4 linked regions of the Caenorhabditis elegans genome follow. The gene in region 1 interacts genetically with each later gene. Each region holds a gene or a part of one and is shown on either strand. Other genes may lie near its edges.

Region 1 (5,032 bases):
ACACGCAAGATAATTAACTATTCTATAGATATAGTGATTTCAACAAAAAGTTGTTTCCAGCTGCTGCGACATTGAGAAGTCGGTCAAATTTCAAATTTTAACTAAACCTAGGCCATTTTTTGAGCCACCATAACTTTTTTAAAACAAGTTTTCAAGATGTTTCATTATAAAATTCGGTGTTTTCAGACTATTTTGAGTTTAGTCAAGAAATAATAATCGAAATAAAAAATCGACTACACCACTTTTAGCATGAGATAAACGATAAAAGTATGCAATAAAGGGTGATAATTTAATAAAAACTGTAAGTAAAATTCCAGAGGCTGCCATAAGCAAGAGTTGCCGAAATTTCGGCTTTTTTTTCGATTTTTTTTTAAGAAAAAAGTCTCATTATGATATCCAGTCAGTTTTGGTCTATTCAAGCAAAATAACCAAAATCTCTACTACTTTTCAAATTTCTTCAATTCGATCGAATTTGACCTCAAAAAAATCGAAACGAGAATCAAAAAAGAGTCGACCTTGAAGTAGTGTATTTGTGTTGATTAGGTGGGGCTACTGATTGCACTGCAAATCAATAAATATATAAAGTCTTCTCAACAGATCAAACTGGTTCGAATAGAACAAGGCCGTGGTGAGAGATGGTGGCCGGCCGTTGTCGGGTGTCCATTTCTCTAGAATCTCTCACAGATTCCTGCAGTATTTCGTCAGCAGCCGCCGGCGGGTAACCCCCCGCTTCCCGTTCTCATCCCGTATCATTCTGTCCGCTTGTCTGTCACCTCTACGCTTCCATCACACTCCATCTTTTCTTCTATTTCTTCTTTTCAGTGTGTGTGTTGTTCCATGCATTATTTTTGCGGGTTGTAATCATCATCATCATCGCCATCATACACTTTTCTCCTTCTTCTCCATCTTGCTTTTCTCGCTCTCGTCAATATAGTTTTTGTCTTAAATAAACTTTGCAAAAGTGAAAATTTAAAAAAATATATAAATTCGTTCCTTGCATGCAGATTTTTTTTTCTGAAATTGCCGGAATTTATGTTACCAGCCAGGGATGTCCGGCAATTGTGGTTTGGCAAATTTTCTTGTCCACAAATTCGGCAAATTGCCGATTTGCCAATTTGCCGGAAATTTCGATTTTCGGCAATTTGCCGATTTGCCGTTCGCCGGATATCAATTTGCCAGAAAAATGAGGGTTTTTTATATATTTTTTTATATTTTTCATAACACTTAAAACTGTGCCTTTTTGAAATTTTTTTCCGGTTTTCTTTAGATATTTTCATAGAATTTGCTAACTTTTCAAAATAGATGTAGGAACATTCATAGGATGCGTACAATTTTGCTGATTGAAATTGAACTTCTGGAATTCCCAAAAAAAAAGTGCAAGGCCACAATTTGCCGGTTTGCCGATTTGCCGGAAATTGTCAATTCCGGCAATGTTGATTTGCCGGAAAGTTAGCAAAAATCGTTTGCCGATTTTTTCCAGCAAAGCGGCAAATGGCCGGAATTGAAATTTCCGGCAAATTGGCAATAAACCGGAAAAGTGGCAATTGTCGAAAATTTTCGGCGAAACGTGGTTTTGCACTTCTTTTTTTGTTGGAAATTTCAGAATTTCAATCTAAATCGGCGAAATTGTACGCATCCTATGAATTTTCCTACGTCTGTTTTGAACTGTAAGAAAAAATTTAAAAAAGGGGCAGTTTTAAATGTTCCCATCTTATAAAAATCCCTCTAAACATTTCCGGCAAATTCCAATTTTTTCGAGGAATTGGATTATGTTCCATATATCAACGAAAAAAAAAACAATTTTATTAAACAAAATAAATTGAAAAAATTCGGAAATTTTTCATTTGACGGTATATGCTAAAATATTTTTTTCTGTTCACTTTAAGGTACTTCTGGTGATTAGAAAATTTAAAAAAAAATCGATTGTCAGCGTAAGAATTTATTAATTCATGAATTTTAACTCGTAACTTATTGTTGGCCCACTAATATATTTTTTCCTAAATAATTCAAAATTTCATTGCAGATGGTCATATAAATGAGCATAATGAGCATATCACTGCACTCGGCATCATCGGATACGGTCTCGTTGACCAGCCGACGAACAATATCAACTAGTAAGCATTGGGCGGCTATTTTTGATGAAAGAATTTATCAGGTTTGTATATATTTGAATATTTCCTGAATTCAATAATATTTTTCAATTTCAGATATGCAATATCGTACATCCTGGCCTCCCGATTGACAATGCTGCAGTTGAGCACATTCGATATTTTTTGCAAAGTATCGTTTTTGAGGTATATATATATATGTATATATCGGTTTTTTTTCAAATCTAACAAATAAATTAATATTAATAAATTCCCCCTGTGCATTTCTTGACCTTGTAATCCTTTCCCCTCTTCAGCTCATCGAAGCACGTGCCACAAGTGTCGTCGAAGTGGACAAAACTGCGAAAAAGCTGTTCGCATTCGGTCTGCAGACTGTTTGTAAAGTAAGGGATTTTCAAAAAATGTTTCCAAAAAATTTGTATATTCATAAATCATCAAAAAAGATCGTGATTTGATTTTCAAAACTATTCATTTTTTGTCTTTTATCCTGAATATTCAAGTTTATGGAATTCTTTCCGCTTTAAAATATTTTATTTAAAATGTACTACGAGAACACAAAAATCTGAGAATGCGTATTGCACAACATATTTGACGCGCAAAATAACTCGTAGCGAAAAAGAAAACTACAGTAATCCTTCAAATCACTACTGTAGCGCTTGTGTCGATTTACGAGATCTCGATTTTCGTATTAAAAGCGATGGAGCTTATTTCGAAAATTGGGCCCCGTAAATCGACACAAGCGCTACAGTAATCATTTAAAGGGTTACTGTAGTTTTCGCTACGACACATTTTGCGCGTCAAATATGTGCAATACGCATTCTCAGATTTTTGTGTTCTCGTAGTACATTTTAAATAAAATATTTTAAAGCGGAAAGAATTCCATAAACTTGAATATTCAGGATAAAAGACAAAAAATGAATAGTTTTGAAAATCAAATCACGATCTTTTTTGGTGATTTATGAATATACAAATTTTTCTTTTTTTTGCCTAAAAAATCTGGGTTTGGACAAAAAAAATATTAAAAAAGTAGTGAAATTGGTGAAAAAACCAACAAAAAAAAACGTTTTCCACCTAACATAAATACAAGAAAAATGAAATATACTCTTTGGGAAAAAAATATTTTTAAAAATTCTAAAATTCTGAAAAACCACAAATTAAAATGAACAAACCACGAAATATTGAAAAATTCAACTTTCGAAAATTTTCGTGATTTTAAAATTTGGATTTTTCAGAATTTGAGACTATTTTTGAATTTTTCGGAGCAATATTCCCCCTAAAATGTGTATTTTTTCTGATTTCTCGAATTTTCTTAAATATTATTTCAAAATTTGCAGGAAGCCTGGGACAACATGCACCAACAACTCCAAAAGCACAAATATCAAAAAGCCCTGAAAACAGTTCTAGAAAGCCAACATCGCCTGGCAGCAGTCATCAAAGAAACACTTGGACCACGAGAAAAAGAGAAAAAAGATCGAGAAAAGAAGGAAATCGAACGTATCGCATGCTATATTTATTATGCATGTGAAAGTGTTACTGAAGATGTGCTCAGGCTGACTGGAAATTATGTGAAAAATATTCGAAATAGTGAGCAAAAGATTACGATGGCTAATCTTGATGTGGCGATGAACGGGGATAAGGTACTGCTTTTTTTTGGAGAAAAATATAAAAAAAACCTATTCAGCAGAAAATTTGCTTCGAAAAAATAAAAATAAAAATAGTCTTGAATTCAGAAAAAACCAAAAAAATCGCAATTTTAGCTAAACACAATTTTGTTTTCGAAATCGAAAAACGAGAAAAAAATTTTTTTTTTGAAAACAAAACATTTTTCGCCGAAAAATACGAAGAAATAATAAATTTTTCGCCAAAAAACACAAAAAAGCGAAAAGAATAAACATTTTTCAGTTTATAACGTTATTTTAAAAAAAAACTTGCTTATTTTGACCAAAATTGCATTAAAAAAAATTCGAGTGTGATTTTTTGGAATTTATGTAAAATTTAATATTTTTCTATATTTTTCAATTTATCAGAATTTTCCGCTTTTTATCAATCTTTTTTTCGAAAAAAAAGCAACAAAAAAAAACACATTTTTCGCCAAAAACACGGCAAAATCTACAACCCTGACTGCTGCGACCAATCAGCGATTCGCTCCGCCCATTCTTCAACCAATCAGATGGAGTGGGCGGAGTTTGGTGGCGCTGATTGGTTGTGCAGTTTTCGTTGCGGTGGGAATTCAAAGTTAGCCAAAATTTTCACGATTTTCTTGTGTATTTTTTTCCGAATTTGAGACTATTTTGGTTATTTTGAAGCGAAAATTCAAAAAAAAAAAATCCCAGAAATTTCTGAAATTGACCTAAATTGACCTGAAAATCGATAATTAGACTTGTTTGCAAAGAAAAAAAAAAGGAAAATCTAATTAATATAGCCGTCGGCAATATTATTGCCGAAAAACGATATATTAATTGGGTTTTCTTTGTTTTTTTTCTGTTTTATAATTGGAAATATTATTTTTTCAGACTTTTTTCTGGAAAAAGGGTATAATTTTAAGATTAAATTATCGGTTTTTGGCCAATTTTGGCTAAATTTGTTTCAAATTCTCTTTTTTCATAAATTTCATCTCAAAATTATATTGCATATGTCCACTTCGTGCCAGGCTGTCCCATTACGGTTTGATCTACGAAAAATGCGGGAATTTTTTCCCAGAAAAAATGTGACGTTAGCACGCTCTTAACCATGCGAAATCAGTTGAGAACTCTGCGTCTCTTCTCCCGCATTTTTCGTAGATCAAACCGTAATGGGACAGCCTGACTCCACGTGTATCTGCACGTGGTCTCAAAGTGTCCCATTTTGGTTTGATCTCCGAAAAAGGCGGGACGTCACATTATTCCGAGGAAAAAATTCCCGCATTTTTTGTAGATCAAACCGTA
Region 2 (7,983 bases), on another chromosome or scaffold:
GAGACCGGTCGAAATCGAGCTGAAAGGTGTTTGGATTACTGTAGTCTTATGATGAAATACAAATAATAAGAATCCAGAACTTCGAACAATAAATGGAGACAGCTGTCAATAAGCTAAATTTTCAAGAATTTCATATTTTTAATTTGAAGTTAGTATATTTTCTAATGTTTCATTTCAAACAGTGTGTGCCTTTAAAGTGTTGTATCATCTATTTGAGAAATTACAATAATGACATAAGTATTGTAGAGTTTAATGAGACACTGTAACACGGTGGCTGGGACAAACTCTTTTCACATTTTGTCAACAAACTCCCGCACTCAGCCCATCAATTCTCCATAGATGATGCCCTTTTCAGATAGCGGAAAACCCCGCATCATCATCATCTCACACTTCTCCGGATAGATAGATAAAGATATATCCAAGTGTTACAAAGGTGTGAAGACCCCCAAAAGTTGACATCGGCGCGTGGCCCTTAATTATGACCGCATACCACTTCAAACGATACCGCCACCGTTTCTTCGTCCCCCTGATAACATGGTCCCAGATTATCAGGAAAATGGTGTAAGACAACCTTGCGCAATCCGGGAAGATGAAGAAGGAAATGATGATGTGACACGTGCCGAAAAAGAAATTGGGCCCTACTTGTTGATTGGGTAATGCACGTGTAGTTTTCAGGTGTTTTCGGTATTAAAAGGCTATTTGTATGGGGTAATAAAGGATTAATGACTAGGATTATTTCACATTATTTCACATATTTTCACGTTTTGTTTCTAACTGAAACTCACAAATAATTCTCCAATTGTGTAGTTTAGAATAGATTTATATCTTTAGACACCGTCGGTAAACAACTAAAAATACCATTATTCATCTCAATGACATAAACTTTCCCAACACGAGCCCTCCCAAACACCGACTCGCTAATTGCGAGCAATTTATTGATTGACAGTTCGCGGATGAACTTGTTTTGCACATTGTAGATCGAGATAAGACAAGTAGGTTCTTAAGTCGGGCCGACACAAAACAGATAGGTCTAAAAGAACGTCTGAAATTGAATAATCAGATAAGACAGAGTAAAGGGATACTGAAAAAAGAATAGTTATAGAAATACTTGAAAATCTGAATGAATAGAGGTGACAACTATTTTTCCAAACTTACAACTAACACTGGTCTCAAATTACAGATACATATATATGTTAGTTTTTTCAGATTTCAAATTAACCTACCCGTAGGCTGGTAGGCAAGAATGTAGTCGATCTTTGCAAAGTCATATCTTTAAATTTCTCATTGGAAATATTTGTACCGTATCCTCGAAGCACTTTTCCTCCTGACCTCTTTTGTTTGTAAAATATGTTTACACTTTTGAACACTGGAAATGAAAATGGGGAAATTGGTCATTGCCAACAAGTTACACTACTCTCGAAAGTTGTCTGTTTGTTCTATCTGTTCTTGTTTCCGTGAAATTGCAACTTTTGGAATATGTATGTTTTTGGTAATCAGAAAATTATTTTTGTGTTAGGTAAGTCCAACAAATCACATAATCGAAAAAGCAAACAAAGAAAGTAAACTTTGTCTGAAATCCATTAAGAAGCTGTTTTCAAATATTAGTAGCATGAATAATTCTAACGCTGTTTAAGCTTTTAATGGACATGAACGATTTTTAAAGTTTTGAAGTATTCGTTTCTGGTTCCAGTTTCATGTTAGAGTTACTTCTAGCTTCACCCAGAAGCACGGTGGACTGCTTAGATCTATGTAGCTATCTGCAAATATTTTGAATCTGCAAGATCCGCACGCTCCTAGATGTCCTTTTCTTCGAGACTATCCACAGGTGAATCACCATTTTGCAGGTGCTACTACCAAACATTGACCTTTCAAATCAAAACCATCGAGCACATAAATCTTCATCTCCAAAAATCCACCTCCTAGTCAGAATATCTCTGATAACAAACCCACATACCCCGCGCCAACATCTACTAGTACGTCCTTTGATGCTTACCGCCCGTGTCTTTCGCCCTTCTCTATGTCTCGCTGGTTTCGATTACCGTACTCGAGACTATGCATGCCTGTAACAGACCGCGCATGCGCATAGGTGGGCGGGATCGCCGTCCCGCCCATTCACAGTTCGACAAGGCGTGTCACCTCGAAACTACTCGCTCCTTAAGTTTTCACGCTATATACCTGATATTCACACATTCGGTATATTGGGGGCCAGCCATACGTGCTCCTGATATCCCATCCACTACTAACAAAATGACCACAGATTCTATCACATTTAATCACATTCTTGGGCAGGTAAGTCTATGGTTTCGATAAGTTGTTTTCTAGTTGTAGTGCATAAACTACTGCTCAGGTATTTTTTAATGTCTAGAAGTAGGAGATGTATCCCGGAAAAATTTGATTGAAGAAATTTTTGGAAATTCTAGATGGTTCTAGAATGTACGTTAATTTCGAATTATTTCTATACTGGCTCAGACGTTTTAAGGAGCTAAAATTAAGCTCTTGTTAATTATACAGTTTGAAGTTGTAGCCTATAGAAACTTTTGATTTATTGTTAATAGAGCTCATCAAGCATCACAAAAATTAGATAGTATCATTACTATAGTTAGCCTTAAGTTAGATTTTCATAGCATTTGAAAAGTTTTTGAAAATATGTTTTGAGTTTTCCAAGTCTCAATTTCTTCTCCTTTCTCACCGCCTCTATTGAAGCCCAAAATTAATTCAGGGTCGTGTTAACCAACTCGGTGGAGTTTTCATCAACGGTCGACCCCTTCCAATTCACGTTCGTCATGCTATCATTTCAATGGCCAAAAAGGGTATAAAGTAAGTAGTCCGAACTTCTAGAGAACACTAACAATAATCTTTTAGACCATGTCACATCAGTCGTCAACTCAAAGTATCTCATGGAGCTGTTTCGAAAATCTTGAATCGTTACGCCGAGACGGGCTCAATATCTCCGGGACAGGTCAGTGCATTTTCTGGATGATAAGATAATTTGCTAATTAGGTCATCAGGCAGGCGAATCATAACCATAAAATTTAATGTTTGCCTACACGTGCCGCGTGTCGTCGTCCTGATTCAAAAAAGTACCGTAATACTCAATTTTGGCGGGTCGCGCAGGTGCGACGCCCCGGGTGGCACTTTTCGGCATTTTTCAAAAAATGCGTCGGATGTCTGTGTTTCTGTTAAAGTAGTTGTTGTCTACTAGGTTTTTGGTTACCAAAAACATACGGTAATTACAATTCCAAAAAAAGTAAACTTTGAATTCTTGAAAATTCCATTTTGTTGGTTGCAAAACGGCAAAGAGTGTAGAACGGGGAGTGCAAATATACAAAACAATTTTTATTCATTTATAAACTTTAAAATCATCTCAAAAACAACCTGAAACTTTCCAAGAACTGATATCAAAACGTTTTCGGCAAATGACAACTTTGAAACAGTTTTTGAAATTTTTCTCGACTATTTCAATGCAAATAACTGATATTTTCAAACTGATCAAATATTTTTCTATCTATATTTCTACATTTAATTTAATAAAAAAAAGAGTTATAATCTGGGATTGGGCAGTTTTGTAGATTTGCCGAAAATATTCGTCATATTTCTTACATAAGCCTAGCGAAAGCAAATGCTTTTTAAACATAAATATCTATGAATTAATTTCAGATCGGTGGAAGTCCCCGCGCTCGACTTACAGTCCAAGCCGTCGAGAAAGAAATTCTGATCGCATGTGATGAGAATCCACAAATGAGCGCTGCAGAGCTCCGAGATTGGCTTATTCACAAAGACATTTGCACAAAAGGAAATGCTCCAACAGTACCTGCGATAAAAAGGCTTATTGGGAATAAAGGTATAATAATGATGAAAACTGTGAAGGCAAAAAAAAGGTAGAGGAATAGATGAAAAACAAACAGAAATTCGTTTCGTTTGATGAATGTTCCGCTTCTGATAGCTGTGGTTGTGTTTGTTTAACTGTTGACAACGATTTTTTTTGTTTCGAATACTTTCATGGAAACTTGCTTGGGCGTCATTTTTTGATGCGTGATTTTCCACAAAAATTCAACAAACCTCACAAGAAGAACTTCTAGACATATTCGATCAAATTATCACTTTCTATAACCTCATCAATCATTTCTTCACGCCAATCATATCATCTTTTTTGCTGCACTTTTTCATCATATCTTCCTTATCACTTTTTTTTGTTTTAATTTCCTTATCAATATTTATCTTCACACAAATCACCACATACTTTTTTGCAGGCGTCGGGGTTCCGAAGAAAATGGAACGAAAACGGCTGAGCTACAGTATCGACAGCATTCTGGGAATTTCAATTGGTAAGTGGTCTAATTGGAATAGTCTTGATTTCACACATTTATAATTTCGTTCCGTTTGTCTCATGTCCTCCAACACCTTTTTTGGGTGTCGGATTTCCTGTTCAATCAGGCAACATTCCGTTCTTTCAATTCAATTTTCTTCTGCCATATAGTAACACACAAACAGACGTAGCATGAAAGTTTTCATTCCTCCCAATATTCCCAAAGGGGCCAGAGGGCATACTGTATATTGGACTTCTTTGATATAATAACGGTCATTAACACTTTGATTAGTATCGCCTGTATGTCGCTGTGTATGTTAACGGTGTGATAAGACGATAAAGGCGAAGACGTTGAAGAAGTGGGGGCGGAAAGGACAAGAAGCGTCGGTGAAGAATGATGTGAATTAGACAAGGGGGCACGCGTCAGGGGTTGATTTTAATCAACAAGACCATCGTATTTGTTTGTGAGTTGCATGCTGTGCGCCGCCACGGAGATCTTCAGGGAGAGAACCATGACTGATTGAATTACGGGTTACGGTAGTGTACCGCATTTTGTTTCTCCTGATCTGCAACAAGCGTACCGGAATGTCCCGCGTGTCTTCAGGCCTACCTGTTAGCTTGCCTACTGCCTATTCGTCTACATCTTGGTGTGAAGTCTAGGGTCTGATGTTGCATTGTGAAGCCTATAGGTAGGTCGCCTTGATGTCCGGTAAGCAGGCACTTTTGATCCTAAAATCTTGTTTGATCTGTGCTCAGTTGTTAATCACATTCGGTAGGGTACGGTAGTTGTGCAAGAAAATCGTAATCTAAAGAAAGAGCATGTCAAATTCCAGGCATCATACGCCTACCTTGTAGGCACGCAGGCAGGCATTTTTATCATGTTCGGCACTCCAAACAGTTTCATTAAATCTTTGTCTGAAAATTCAAGTTTAACAACAGCTTTGAGACTGTTTATATAGAACGAATAAAAGTGAAATTTTTGGTTTTTAAAACTTCCAAAACTTTTAGCCTACTTTTTATAAGAAACTAGACAGCCACAAACTTATGTTTTTGCAAGTTACTTGAATTTCTAGGGGTCATGCCACTACCTCCTGCTGTTTCAACTTCTTGTCTTCCAAAACTTTCAACACTTCCCCTCTCTTCCTGTCCCGTTTTTTCCCGCTTCCTAACTTGTCGTCAATCTTGTCATTCCTTAAATTGTGAACCACCGCTCAACTTCGCACATTTTCGCATACACGTAGCAATTAAGATAGGGGGAGAAGATTTGCGCACTTGATAGGTGCCTATTCAAATAGGTAGGTAGGAGGAGGAGAAAACGATCCAATAAATTCCATATTTTCGCGGCCAATTGATCAGGATGGGCACACGAGTGACTGGCGCGAGAGAAGATTGGGATGCGCGAAAAAAAGCAAACACATGCATACGAACATAATACATATCCGCAATTTAACACATTAAAACTTTGACATTTGACATTTGACAATATGATTGTTAGGGATGTGGGTTACGGTATGTTGCGCAAGATCGTTAGTAGGTGTTGGTCAGCTTGCCTGGAAGGCAGGCAGGCATGACAGATCATTGTGAGCTTGTTTATTATCAAGTTTTTACCGAGTCCGAGTTACCCTCTCTCCACCACAAACCTTGAACCAAAGTTTGAACTCGGCGGTGCGGTAACGTGATTTTTCAGAAATTTCCCGAATTTGTCAGAATACTTCCATGATTTTCCACATGTCTATATTTCTATTACATTCATAAGTAACAAAAATTAATATTTTCCAAAAATAGGTAGCCGTTGAAAACACAACGCAACGACTGATATTTAGGTATCAGAGACTGGAGTGATAAAGTTCCAGGTGAAAAAAGAAATGGAAACAAAAGTTTCTTCTTCCTGGAATACGCTCAGAATACATTGCTCAATGGGAATATATTATAGCACTCCCCCGCGCCGTTCTTAATGAGCATTGGGAATTATAGAACGATATCGTTAAAAACTACAGTATGCTTAAGGGAGAATTCATTTTTGAAAATCTTACTCTACTCGGCAAGTAGCTAAAGTTTTCTGCAGACTATTACCAGAAAGAGGACTAAGTGCGGTAGAAATCTGCTTTGATTTGACAAGAACGGATGAAAAATATTAATGAGATAAAAGATCAAGTTGAGCATCCTTGAAATCGACATTCTTCAAATTAGAACATTGTATAGAAATAACCTTACCTTCCTTCCTTCCGTCACTATAAAATACTCCTGTGACAGAAACCGATTAGCGCACAGCTCATAAAACTTGGATGTGAGAAACGACGGTGATGATGGAGTGATCCGTCAAAAAATGGAACGATAAAAACAAATTAATAGGGTCCATTCCACCACATGATATCTCTTTCTCAAGTACACAAAGGTGTCAAGTCTATAAATTAGAAGAGACACCCCCCCTCCCCCACCCGCAATAGGGTCTCTCCCGATCTTTATCGATTATTTTTAGAGAAGTGTGTCTATGCGAGAGGCCTACGACATGACTGAGACCACCCACTGTGGCGCAACATTATATATAGTAATTGGGCGACTCGACTGGCAGGCCGTAGTCTTTCTCTGTTAGATACCTTACAATTGACTCATTGATTTCCGGATTTTGAGGGAAAATGCTTGATAGGCGGGGGTCTGATTTTGAATTTTTGAAATAGAACGTATGCGGAACTCAAATAATTTTCAGTCTCGAGGCAGGCGAGTCCGGAAGCCTTTCAGAAAGGCATTTCAGCATGCTCATTATTCATTAGAGCCTCCCTGGTATCAAATATATTCTAGTTGCAATAGTTACTTCAACTTTTGACGTCGCATGCTATTGAAAATGTTTGTTATTTTAATTACGCCTGGAACATTTGCCCTTTCGATTTTCAACGGATGAAAAAAATGGCAGATGAAAAATATTAGTTCCACATTTCGAAAGTCTGTATAGAGAGAGGATGTATAGAGTTTGTTAATGAAAATTCAAAAATGCATTCACGTACCCAAAAATGGTAGCTATGATAACCCCTTTCAAAAAAATAATTTTCAGACGAATGCAGCAAATCGTCATCGGATGACGAAGAGGGCTCTTCACCATCAAACGACGCATCGTCTCGTCGAAATCGTACATCATTCACTGCCGAGCAACTAGATGTTCTTGAAAATGCGTTCCGCGCAGACACTTACCCACATGCCAACGCCAGAGAGAGCATTTCCAAGGAGACAGGGCTCAGCGAAGAGAAAATTATGACGTGGTTTTCGAATCGGCGAGCAAGATGTCGGAAAAATATGCCAATGTATCAACAGTACAATGTTCAAGGTTTTGGATCATCTCCGCCGGTTAGTTAGAAATCGAAACTATATATTAGAAAACAAATTACTAAAACTTTGATTTTCAGTCCTACCCAACGCTGCTGCCTTCACCGATGATGTTCCTACCCTCCTACTCAACGAGTCCTCAATTGAATCCGTTATTCTTTCAACACATACTCCAATCAAGTCCCCCATCAAGTCAATCATCTCCGCCATCATCAAGCTAAACGCTTTGAACTTATTTCTGAACTTTCAAATAAAACCTGTGATATTTGAAAGTCGATCAGAAATTGATACACAAATTTAATTTGAAAGTCCAGAATTAATTTTAAAACATTACCTTAAGAATTCACCCATTCTTCCCA
Region 3 (4,606 bases), on another chromosome or scaffold:
TTTGAAGCTATGTTTTGTGTATAGATTAACACTTTTTGTTTAAGTTACGCTGTAATAGTTTGTTTTTCTGGAAAAATAATGGGAACTGCAACAAGAAAATGCTCTTGTTCTAAATTATACTCTACAATATAATTTCTCTTTTCGAATTGTGACACAAAAACTGAAGAACAAAGACAATAAAGTTCGGAAATTGAAATTGAGTTCTCTTGAAATTTTTCTGAAAAAAAAGCACACATTTTTCCTTTTTTTCTGAATTTTCCGAAAAAAAGTTGTCCAGTTTCAAAAACAAAGCAAAAACAAAAACAAAGTTCCTTATTTTAAAAAGTTATTTTTTCCATTCTAGAGTGCTTTTTGAGCATTTCCGTTTCGTTCACCCAATCTGTGGAACCAACAAAAGAAAGCGTGGGGCAGAAAAAGGAAGAATCGCAGACGTCATCCTTCTCTCTTGTGCTCCAGAACATGATGATGATGATGCGGATAGGAAAAGGATAGTTTTTGAGAATTTTTTTGGGAAAAGTTTTCACACCATATTTTGAAAGATGTTTTTTCTCTATTTGAATTTATTTTCATTATTGAAACTGAAATTTCCGGGGTTTCCCATTTTGAAATTTTGAGAACAAGATATTCAGTTAAGAGAATAAATTCAATTATAAAATTGGATTTCTGTAGAAAATTTGTATCATCGTAGATAAAAAAAAAATGTAACGACAAAAATTGTATTCATTCATTTTTTATTTTCTACTGCTATTTTACATTCCGTTTCTGTTTTTTTTTTTTTGGAAAAATAACTTCATATATCCTATTTTCCTCTAAAAGATCCGTGTTCTCAAAATATCAAGAAAATTTCCTGATTCTTTCATTTTCAATAAACCGAACCCTTTGATCAAACCACAGTTCTTGCCAGTAGGCGTTTTCTCACGCATTTCAAGTATCTGCTCCTTTAAAAATTTTAAATTCAGAAATTCGAATCTTTTTGATGAATTCCTTTTTCAAACATTGTTGATTTTAAAATATTCTACTATCAAAATCGCGAAAAAGAGAAGGAATTCGTTGTTTTCACCAAAAAAAATGTATAACGGGAGTCTAATTGATTAGATCTGTCTTTTTTCTTTTTTCGTGACAAAAATGTGAATCCATGTATCTTGAAGCATTGCTTTTCAAGGTTTATGAACTTTCAAACCACCTCTGTTATCAATTTTTGAGATCAGTGAAACGTGAAAAAGAGGAATAGTTCCAGTAGAAAGGAAGGCATTTTTATTGGACTTTTTTTGAAAACTAGCTCAGTAGGAATAGAAAATAGATATATATTTTCCTGGAATGTGCTCTTGTTTTTCTCTAGTTCTCATTCCTAAAAGTATTCTGGAAGTGTCTGAAAAATTATGTCATATCTCTATCGCGCACAACTTTTTCACAATTAAAAACGGAAATATTTTCTTTGAAGCTCTTTTTATGATTATTGTTTTTTGTTGTCTTCCTTTCCTTCGTTGATCATGGAATACTCTTGTAATTGAAACCGCTTCAATGAGCTCTTTCTTTAATTTATTCTCAAATATTTTCAGACAAACTCTCAGAAAGTTGACTGAAATCAAGTCGACGCAATGTCGTCGACGAGCAGTATATGCTCTTCAAATGATGCCGATTTCATTGTTGACACCAGAATTCCGGCATCAATACGTAGAGATATTGATCGATTTTCAGTTTTTATAAATCGACTTCGGTCAACTTTGGATCTCAATTCTTCGGTTGTTGGTATGTCTGAAAATTAAATTTTTTTAAAAATTATTTATAGAGTGTAGCGGAAATTCAGGAAAACGCGCAAGGTTAAGAAAATACAACTAGATTTTTAAATGTAATGTTTCGGTGAATGGTTTAAAATTTGAAACTATTTTTCAGCAAAGCCTTGAAAATCGAAAAGCCTATTTAATAATGTACTAACAGTTATTTTGGAGCACTAAATGTTTTATCTGATCCTTGAAGTTTCCTACGATCGAACTGTAACTTCCAGAGCTTACATGTTTTTTTTTTAAATTAACGTTATGTAATACTCAACTTCCTCATCTGAAATTACAAATTTTGCAGACGGTGAATCAATGTGTGTAAATGTGCATGCATCATTGGAAATGGTGTCAGAATCCATGCGGGACTTGTTTAAATACTCTCAATTCAAAACAAATCCCATCATTTTGCTGTCTCTTCAACTTGTGCAAGCCGTCAAAGGTATGTGTAAGTGAGAGCATATTCTCTCATCTTCTTCTCTTCTGTTGCTCTTCTGCACACATTTCTCATTTAATTTTACTCTCTCTTTTCGTGGAAAAAGACAAAAAAAAGTTGTTTTATGTGCATCATCACAGGAATACTAAACGTATTTCATTAGGCCAATGTTCATTTTATTTCCGGCATCATTTGATAGTTCCTCTGATATTCCAATATATTTCAGTTTCAGAATTACTATTATTAGGTTTAATTCTAGATACATGTTATGTAATTGTTTATTAGGAGTTTGAGCTTTTACATAATTTTGTAAAAATTGTAACGATTTGACTTTATTGGCGTAGAATTTTATCAGTCATAAAACCTACAACGATTTCAAAAAAATTAATCTCAAAGTTTCATTCAATCAGTATAATCAATTTGTAATGCTGTTCCGTACACTGACACCAGTCTTCTCTGAACCTGTCAAGAGAAGTCTGAAAAATTGTTCATTCCAGACTTGAAATTTGATACGTGCTCTGTGGATACGACTCCGGTTCTGAACATTATCGATCAGCTGGAATCAGCTGTTTTAAACATCATTCTGTGAGTTCCCGTCACCTTCATTCCCACACACCCACATTTCTCACCTCGTTCTTTTTTCTTTCGATCTTCCTCTCTCAATGATTTGTTTCGGTTTGATTTTTGAGAGTTAGACGTTTTTCCCTCTACCGGTAGGAGGAATGCGTGTTTAGGTGAAATATGGATTTTGAACGAGGAAGGAATTGGATAAGGTAATTCAAAAACTCTCGAAAATTCTCTAAAACATTGTATTAATTAGAAAATTTAAATAGCTTGTTTTTTTAATTGGCAGTAGCCTTGAGAAATTGTTTTTAACCTGGTAGTTCGGAATTATATTTTTTCTTGCATCAAAAGATTGTTTAAAAAAATCAATTCAAGTTTTATATTTTTCGGAAAAATTGATTGAGCTTATCCTTTCTGTAAACTGAAACAATTCAAAAGTTAAACAAGCCATTTATTCATTCGATTTATTTTTGCATGGGAATATTGATCATTCACATCGTTTCAATTGAATGATGCTGTTTCAAATGTTCAAAATATTTTCTCTGCAAACGCTGCTCCGACGAGACGCTACTAGATTAACGGTCTACGCTCATATACCAAATCACGCATCCAGTAAAAAAGTGTGTCTAGTCGCGCCTTTTCTGTACCTTTTTGAAATATTTAATTGTTTAAAACTTTCTCACACAGATGGAAATGCCAATAAATATTGGCATTTCACTTTTCTGGTTATAACTAAAATGTTAGATTATTCAAGATTTAACAAAAAACGTTGTTTCCAACGAATTTAGATTCTTTCTAAGTAGAAAACTACGCAGGGTTTTTTAAAAATCTGAAAAGAGCGTTTAGTGTTATTGAAATTAAATTCAAAATTATTCATTATTCATTTTCAGAAACCGTCATATTGTTTCATCGGTTCATCATACGCCGAGTAGAAGTTCAACGTTAGGTCGCTGGAAACAAAATGTAAGCTGCATTCTGATCTACAAAAAAATCTTAAAATTGATATTCCAAAAATTTCGAGAAACGTTGTTTTTTGGTAGCGGTTGCTCTCCTGTTTCGTTTACATACACATACGTATTTTGTTTTTGTATGTGTCAATCCATGGTTTTCTATTTTCCCTTTTCTTCAACTTTTCGTTCTTCAATTCACTCCCAACCTTTATTCATAGTTCTTCTTTTTCAGTTCATTTACTAAATTATTTGTTTAATGCGGTCTCCCAGAAATAGGTCCTATGGGAGAGTAAGTTGAAACATATTTGATTAATAAGATTTTGAATAGTATAAAACAAAATTTCCTGCTGAAAAAGTGAAACATTTGAACATCTATTTATGTATGAGGAAAATGAGTTTCAGATTTTCTAAATCGTATTTGAAGTTCTTTAAATCCCAAGTCAGCGATGTCAAAATAGCAAACCAAAACCATGAGTCAGATGACAATATTCTCCTCAAATTTTCCAAAAATTATGCAAATTTTTTTATCTTATGTTCCTTGTGATCTGTTCAAATTTATTTCGAAAATTGTAAAACACAATTATTATAATATTTTTCTATTAGAATGAAACGTTTTATAAAAGCAAAATACGAAAATAATCCGGTAATGTTAACTAATAAACTTTCAAATTTAACATTTTTGATAGCAAGATTTCTGAAAAATGTTCCTAGTGAAAACTGTTCACAGTTGTTTTAAATTGTGGTAAAAGTTACTTTTTTGAATTTAAGTTTTGCTGCCTTGAATACAGTAACCTATTTATTCAATGACAGTTTAAACTAAAACATTTAAAAAAAAAGAATGTTTACTATTTTCTATAAAACTGCAATATTCTGATTCATTT
Region 4 (6,684 bases), on another chromosome or scaffold:
TCAGATTTTTTAAGAATCATGATATTTCTTTTTAAAAAAAGCTTCCAAAATGTACATATGTCTACATTTACACATCCCCTAAATTTCAAGAGGTCGGCAAAAAACAGTAATGGGAAAATAAACTAAAAAGACTTCAATTGAATTTTTAAGTGGAAATTTAAAAAAAAAACGCTAAAACGTCTAAATATCATTGTGAACCTTTTCAGAAATTTTTATTTACAGCCAAAATGTGGTGATAACTTAGTTTTACCAATCATAATTTGACAGTCGACCAAAAAAAATATATCATCAACCAGTTTTATACGTTTTTAATTTTGTTTCTATAACCATTTGTGTTTTAAAAATTCTATGTTTTTGAACATGAAGCAATGCTCAAAATTACTTTAAAAGTGCACGTTCTTGATAACCGAAATGTTGTCACTAATTCAGCCTGCAATTCTTTGAAATGGTTGCAGTATTTTGTGCAATTAAATGTATATCCATTTTCATGATTTTTTGTTAGCTTAAAATATATTCAAGAAATAAATATTAAACCTTCTTCATTTTCTAAATTATGCGTGCAGGTTGTTGTATCTTTCTCACAAAAAACTGTAAATTGTCAAAGAAATGAGATGGGATTGTAAGAAAAGTGGGTTTGCGTGAAGAGATTTGAAGCGAATTGGTGGGAAAAAGCAAGAAAAAAAGAAAATTGTTTCTAAAGTACTCCAATTATTGGCGGGAAATTGAGAAAACCGATCATAAGCTCAAAAACTAGATGCATCCTGTGAAAAATTGTGTGGAATTGAAATAATAATAATGTTAATAATGTGAGAAAAAACTGGGAGAAATTGGGGGAAAAAATAGAGAAAGAGAGACAAAAAATTCATAGTCATGGAATTCATATAAAGTTTAAAAGAACATAAAAAAGCAAATGAATGAGAAAGAAAAAGCCTATATGGTGCTACAGTAACCGAATGAAATTTTTGATGGGATGTGAATATTTGGGAGACAATACTGTACTGTACATAGAGAGAGACCAAAATAATCGAAACTTAAATGGGATGGAGAAAAAAATGAAATTCAAAGACCCGCTGTTTATATCATATTTTCTCGATTTCAGAGTTCTTAGTGGAGGAGGTGAAACTTTGAGAGAGTACAATATTCATTTAAAAAAATTAAACTTAATAAGCTGGGGTTTCTACTCTTGGTGGGACCGTGGAGACGACGTTGGAGAAGATGCTGGAGATGGCGTCGACGTCTCCGCTTGAGAGTTCAGACCTGAAATTATTTATTCATTAAAATCAAGGCTTAAAAATTGTTCAAAGATTTTTTAAATATTGTATATTGCAATAAACCTAGGCACCAAGTCAATTAAGCTATATTTCAAAAGTTTTTGAAATTTTTAGTTTTTGAAAGTTTTAAGATTGAGTTGTGTGAAAAATGATCTGATTTTTTGAAAATTATTAAAATCTCCAAAAAGCTTTCAGAATGTTTTTTGCATCTAAACAACCTTAAAATCACTAAAATAATGTAAAATCCGGATTTAGAGCAGCTTGACATGCTTGTATTTGAAGGAATGCTCTGAGAAATTTCAGTTCAACGTTTCAAATAAGACTAGGCTTTCTAGTTTTTCCCCATATTGGTCAACTAGAATTGCTTTTACATGTTCAATAAGTTATAAGAAAGTGTTTCCCATCAACTATACGAACGGATCAAATCGGCAATTTATCATTCGGTGACTTGACTCCGGGAGCAGCGCTCCTTTTTTGGACAAAAACTGAGTGACGAAGAACACGCGGTTTAGAAAAACGAGCACACTAATCCGTGGGGTCAATGAGGAGACACTTACTTCAGTTTAAGCCCTTTTTCGTTGCCTTTGACGTTTCGAACAAAATTATTACATAGAAAAGAACTCCTCTTTCTGAGCTAAAACATTTGAAAAGGATCTAGAACTTAAGTGTAGACCCTCTTTTGTTAATGCCTATCTAGAAGCTGTAGCTACTGAACTTTCCCCTTATAATGTGTATCAGAAAACATACACCTATTATCAGTAAATATGGGATGATTAGTGCATTAAATAGCAAAAAAACTGAGCGTCACGACAGGATAACAACTTTAAAATTAAGAGGATTACGTTTCGACTTTTCTTGTTCATGTACAAGCACGCACGGTGTTCAACTAGCTGTCAATCATTCGGAATACCCAAAAAAAGAATGATAAGAAAAAGCAGACAGGTTGCCATGTAACAAAATGTAAGAAAAGTGTATTCACCTGCTCACCTCACCTGCTTCATTTGGAGGAGTTGTTTGTGGTGCCAAAAGTGCAAGTTGTTGCCCTTGAGCAGCTTGTTGGGCTAGAAGTTGGAACATGAATGGGTGCATTGTGTGACGGAACAAAGTTGGATCCAATCGTGCCATTACTTCCATTTGTTTTTTCATTGCGTTTTGGAACAAGCTTCCCGTTAATAGATTTTCGTCTGATGATGGTGGAGAATCCTAAATAAAAAGATGTTTGCTAGGGGTTACCATTATTCATCATCTTGAACTAAATTACTTCACTTTAACAACTTTATGAAAAATATAAGCTGCCAAAAGGCACTGCTGTATGCTTCAATGTATCTTCCAAGTACAGTAACCCATGCCTAAACTTTACAATATGACCCCCTGATCTCCCATCAATTCCTTAATGTACTTTATGAAAATGTATAAAACCATCATTCAATCATGTTTGTTGTTAAAGCGGCACAGTTTTGTCGGCTGCTTCACACTCACCTCACAAGTTTGCACATACACACATACAAATGATTCATACTAGTTTACATCTCTATAAAATGTGCAGAACAAGATGAAGGGAGAGGAGGACTCTTTATTTGCCCCTACTAAACATATAATAGTTTTTAAGTCCATTTCGTAAAACTGTTAGAATAAGAGGGAAGATGGGGAAAACTATAAAATCTGTACAATGTATTTTATGATCTAAACTTTTTTGCTCTCACCTTCTTTGATGAATCGTCATCTGAAGTGACATCGGCAATCGACCACATTTTTGGTTTACGCTTCGGACTTTCAGAATCATCATTTGGAATTGGGGATACTAGTTCTTTCTTCGGTGTTGTCAACTCATCTGATCCTCCAGATCCTCCCGAAGGCGTTGGTGATGCTAGATGTGGCTTTCCGAATAGGGATTCTCCTTTTCTTTCGGAATTTATGGATGTTGAGCTTGATGGACGGTTCATGTCATCATCATCGTCGTCTTCATCGTCATCACAACCATCGCCTCGTCGATTTTGTGGTGACCAAGTCATCTTGTTCTCCTTCTTCAGTCGTCTTCTGGCGTTAGCAAACCATGTCGAGACCTGTAATTAAAAATATAAATTTCAAGCTTCGGCTTTGTTTTTCGGGCTAGAGTTTATTTTAATAAAATAACTTCAAAGTTTTGGTTCAAACAATTTTAAAATCTAATTTTTGGCGCCAAGGTTGTGTGTTGTTGGTCTATTGCAACAAAATCAAACAAGTAGTAGCCCTATTTGGTTTGAAACATTTCTCGTATTGTGTAAAGAATGTCTCTCGAAACACATTAATTAAGCGGGGTACGAGGTGTCATCATCATCGCTTATCGCCTCTGTACATCTTTTGTTTCTCGCCCCTCTTTTTTTGGCATCGGTCAAAAAAGGAGACATTTGCCCCCGGGGTTTGATGGCCGGTGAGTGGCTAATGTTACAATAACACTGCGGGAAACACTGTCTACTACATTTTACAACAATATTTTTTGTGGTATTTGTAATTGATGACTAGAGGCGGCTCTAAAATCCCGTGTGAGCTAATAAATTGAGCAAATATTGTGGAGTAAATTACGAGATTACGGTTGGTAATAGGCTATTACGGCTATTAAATCATTTCACAGTGTTGCATTTACTAATTGTTGTCAAAACAAGAAATAATACAACATACCTGTGTAAGTGTCATTCCTGTACCAACTGCCAACATAACTTTATCAGCTTTTGATGGATATGGATTCTTTCTATGAGAATGAAGCCAATCTTTGAGTGGTGCAGTTGCTTCTCGTGTTGCATTTCTTTTCTTGATTCCATCTAAACCATATGGATGATATAAACGATGAGCATCACTGAAGAACATGGGCATCGGTCCTGGCCCTCCACCTAATAACATTTCTGGTTTCAGATCTGCTGGAATTCCATGTGGAAACATCGGAACTCCGGGGAAGCCAGCAAGAGTTGCTTGTTGAGCGGCGGCGGCGGCTTGAGCTTGAGCAGCGAGAACTTGAGCCATGGCAGGATGGAAATGAAATTGACCTAAAAGGTTTGGTGGCAGAATTCCGCGAAGTGCATCCGGAGCTGAAGTGGGTGGAGCAGGAGTCGTTGTTTGTGGTGTTGTGGGCTCTTCCATTTTGACCTGGAAATGGATTTACTTTTCTAGTCAGGTGAAGTGAAGGTATCCAAACGAATAAATCTGACATTTGGCATCTAAATTTTTTGGAAGGAAGTATTTTGAGACTGTGTTCAAATGTTGTCTAATCTAAGATTTATGTAAAAATTGGTAGGAATCGAAAACGAAAACCTTGTCCAAGCTTTGACAACTTCTCAACTGCAATTTTCTATATTAGACTTGCACCCCCCTCTTCCTTCACTTTGACAGTTTATATCTCAGTTCTTTGTGGTTTTATTAAAAAACTTCAAACGGACAATTTACTTGCAAAATAATTTTCTATGTTTTGGTTGTATAACACTTTTTGATAAAGCTGAAGGCAACCGAGATATAAACCGCCAAGCAGTGGCGGTGCAAGGTTAACATGGCAATTGGAAAGAGCAGGAAGTTGACTCCAAGTGTCAAGAAGGACAAAAATGAAATAAATAAATGTAAGAACACTACTTGAGAATATAGAAATTATAATTTAGCTTATTAAACTTATCGCTTAAAAACTGACCTGATTGGCAATAGGAATCATTGTGATGGTGTAGTAGAAGTAGATGTGTTGATCTCAGTACAAGTGCAGAAACAATAGTTGATAAGTATGATTATTTATGATCTGAAGAACACATTGATATCAGTTATAATTCCAGAGCAGTTTTTTGTTGAAAAAGATAGACAGAGAGAGTGAGAGAGAGGCAGAGAGGCGACGAAATCAAGAGGGAGCAAAGGAGGAGCGATTCAGTGATAAGCATAGAAGAGAAAGAGAAAAGGTTTGATTGATAATTCTTGAAGAAATTGAGATGATGTAGAACTATGTGGGACCTTATGTTCAACAACTTGTTGAGCAATCTCGATTTTCTGCAGATGCCCGCCCGGGGCCGTGTGTGTCTCTCTCTCTCTCTCAAGTCCCGCCCACCATCCAATAGACATGGAAGCCACAGGGCGGGGCCTGGAGAGTAGGGAAAGAAATTGAAGAAGCGCAAAAAACACGTGCGAACACGTAGATTTAACAAGATAAACCGGAGAAATTCACGAAGAGAAACGGAAAAGAATCGGAGTAAAGAGAAGTAGAAGAAGATGATGATGAAGGATACAAGAATCGAACGGAAAGAAAACAAATTGATGATATGGCAACTAAAAGAGATTGAAAGATAAACAATTAACCGTTCCAGCTAATGATTGTAAGAATGATGATGGTTTTGATATCTTACTATTTCATTGTTTAGTGTTATTATTTCCAAGTTTGATTCTAGAATTGTTATTTTTGTGCAAAAAAAATCTTTCGAACCTAATACCTCTCTACCTCTACCAATTATCAAGTTTGGGAATGAAAATTAAGAAATACAAGAACCAAAAATCTCAATAAATGTATTCACAAGGACGAAGAGCAAACAAGTTGTAAATTTGCTGGCTGGCTCACGAATGGAAACTGAAAATTGAAGCAAATAACGGGAAGAGGAAGCTTTGGAAGGATCATTGCATAGAGTTTAATCCGAAATATTGGCAGGATGAAGAGAAAAAAAGTATAAACATTTGAAAGTTAAAAAGTAAAACGACGGAAAATCTAGAGAGTACTATCAAATGACCCGAACACACAATGGCGCCACGAACAAAAAAAGGACAAAGGAGAAGAAGCTGAAATCAGTGAACTTAAGTCAAGAATGATACATCGTAGAAGCAATTAGGTAATGGTCAGAACGGTTTGTAGGGGGACAAGAATTGAGAGAATAGAAGTTTAAAATGGCATGTCTCTTGTTGTCCGAAGCGGGGTGTAAAGAAGTGTAGCTGCTGGATAGGGGGCGCCGGCGAGAGTAAGTGGCCAACGATGGCGCTGATGACGATGATGAAGAAAAAGAAAATGGAGAAGAAAAAGGTAAAAAAAGAGGACACGGTGTAATACATTTACTATTGTGTCAGTTATTGTGTTAACATCTCTCTTTGGGTCATTCGATCATTTAGTTATTACAACATGTAACAACAACACATATATAGTAACATAAAGTTGCAACAAAAAAAGTTCAATGGCGGAAGTTTGTACTAATACAGGAAGATGTAGGTACATATGAGCCAAACAAGACAAAAAGGTGTATGGTAGGGAGATTGATGTCAAACGATGATGAGAAAGCGATGGAGGAGGAGTCATTGGGCGGAGTCAATCGCCGGGGGAGGAACACGGGAGGTAGGAGGGTGTAGACATGAGGTCGCGGCACAATTTATGAGGAGCTGGAGCCAGAAGATGATGAAGCTGTGGAATTGAAGTAGAAGAAGCAACTAG

Evidence for each region.
Region 2: changes in sos-1 (region 1) and pax-3 together harm fitness more than expected from each alone (negative genetic interaction), as found in Caenorhabditis elegans (one large-scale study listed by BioGRID).
Region 3: of sos-1 (region 1) and spv-1, changing one enhances a phenotype caused by changing the other (phenotypic enhancement), as found in Caenorhabditis elegans (one large-scale study listed by BioGRID).
Region 4: of sos-1 (region 1) and irx-1, changing one enhances a phenotype caused by changing the other (phenotypic enhancement), as found in Caenorhabditis elegans (one large-scale study listed by BioGRID).

Annotation. Positions count from the first base shown.
Region 1 is NC_003283.11:4,546,283-4,551,314, reverse strand, and holds the start of sos-1 (Son of sevenless homolog), read left to right. Parts: upstream 1-2,023; 5' UTR 2,024-2,035; coding exon 2,036-2,155; intron 2,156-2,207; coding exon 2,208-2,294; intron 2,295-2,404; coding exon 2,405-2,491; intron 2,492-3,442; coding exon 3,443-3,745; intron 3,746-5,032. UniProt on the Caenorhabditis elegans protein: Promotes the exchange of Ras-bound GDP by GTP. May regulate signaling pathways downstream of receptor tyrosine kinase, egl-15 and let-23.
Region 2 is NC_003280.10:10,144,601-10,152,583, forward strand, and holds the start of pax-3 (Paired box protein 3 homolog), read left to right. Parts: upstream 1-1,969; 5' UTR 1,970-2,247; coding exon 2,248-2,289; intron 2,290-2,719; coding exon 2,720-2,817; intron 2,818-2,862; coding exon 2,863-2,959; intron 2,960-3,657; coding exon 3,658-3,841; intron 3,842-4,250; coding exon 4,251-4,325; intron 4,326-7,355; coding exon 7,356-7,645; intron 7,646-7,704; coding exon 7,705-7,845; 3' UTR 7,846-7,983. UniProt on the Caenorhabditis elegans protein: Transcriptional activator. Regulates the lateral/ventral epidermal cell fate decision.
Region 3 is NC_003280.10:7,925,648-7,930,253, reverse strand, and holds the start of spv-1 (Spermathecal Physiology Variant), read left to right. Parts: upstream 1-1,598; coding exon 1,599-1,749; intron 1,750-1,831; exon of another isoform or gene 1,832-1,909; intron 1,910-2,079; coding exon 2,080-2,217; intron 2,218-2,708; coding exon 2,709-2,796; intron 2,797-2,952; coding exon of another isoform or gene 2,953-2,984; intron 2,985-3,665; coding exon 3,666-3,738; intron 3,739-4,606.
Region 4 is NC_003279.8:9,535,942-9,542,625, forward strand, and holds irx-1 (Putative iroquois-class homeodomain protein irx-1), read right to left. Parts: upstream 5,026-6,684; 5' UTR 4,945-5,025; coding exon 4,924-4,944; intron 4,392-4,923; coding exon 3,930-4,391; intron 3,730-3,929; exon of another isoform or gene 3,590-3,729; intron 3,335-3,589; coding exon 2,975-3,334; intron 2,475-2,974; coding exon 2,264-2,474; intron 1,258-2,263; coding exon 1,178-1,257; 3' UTR 524-1,177; downstream 1-523.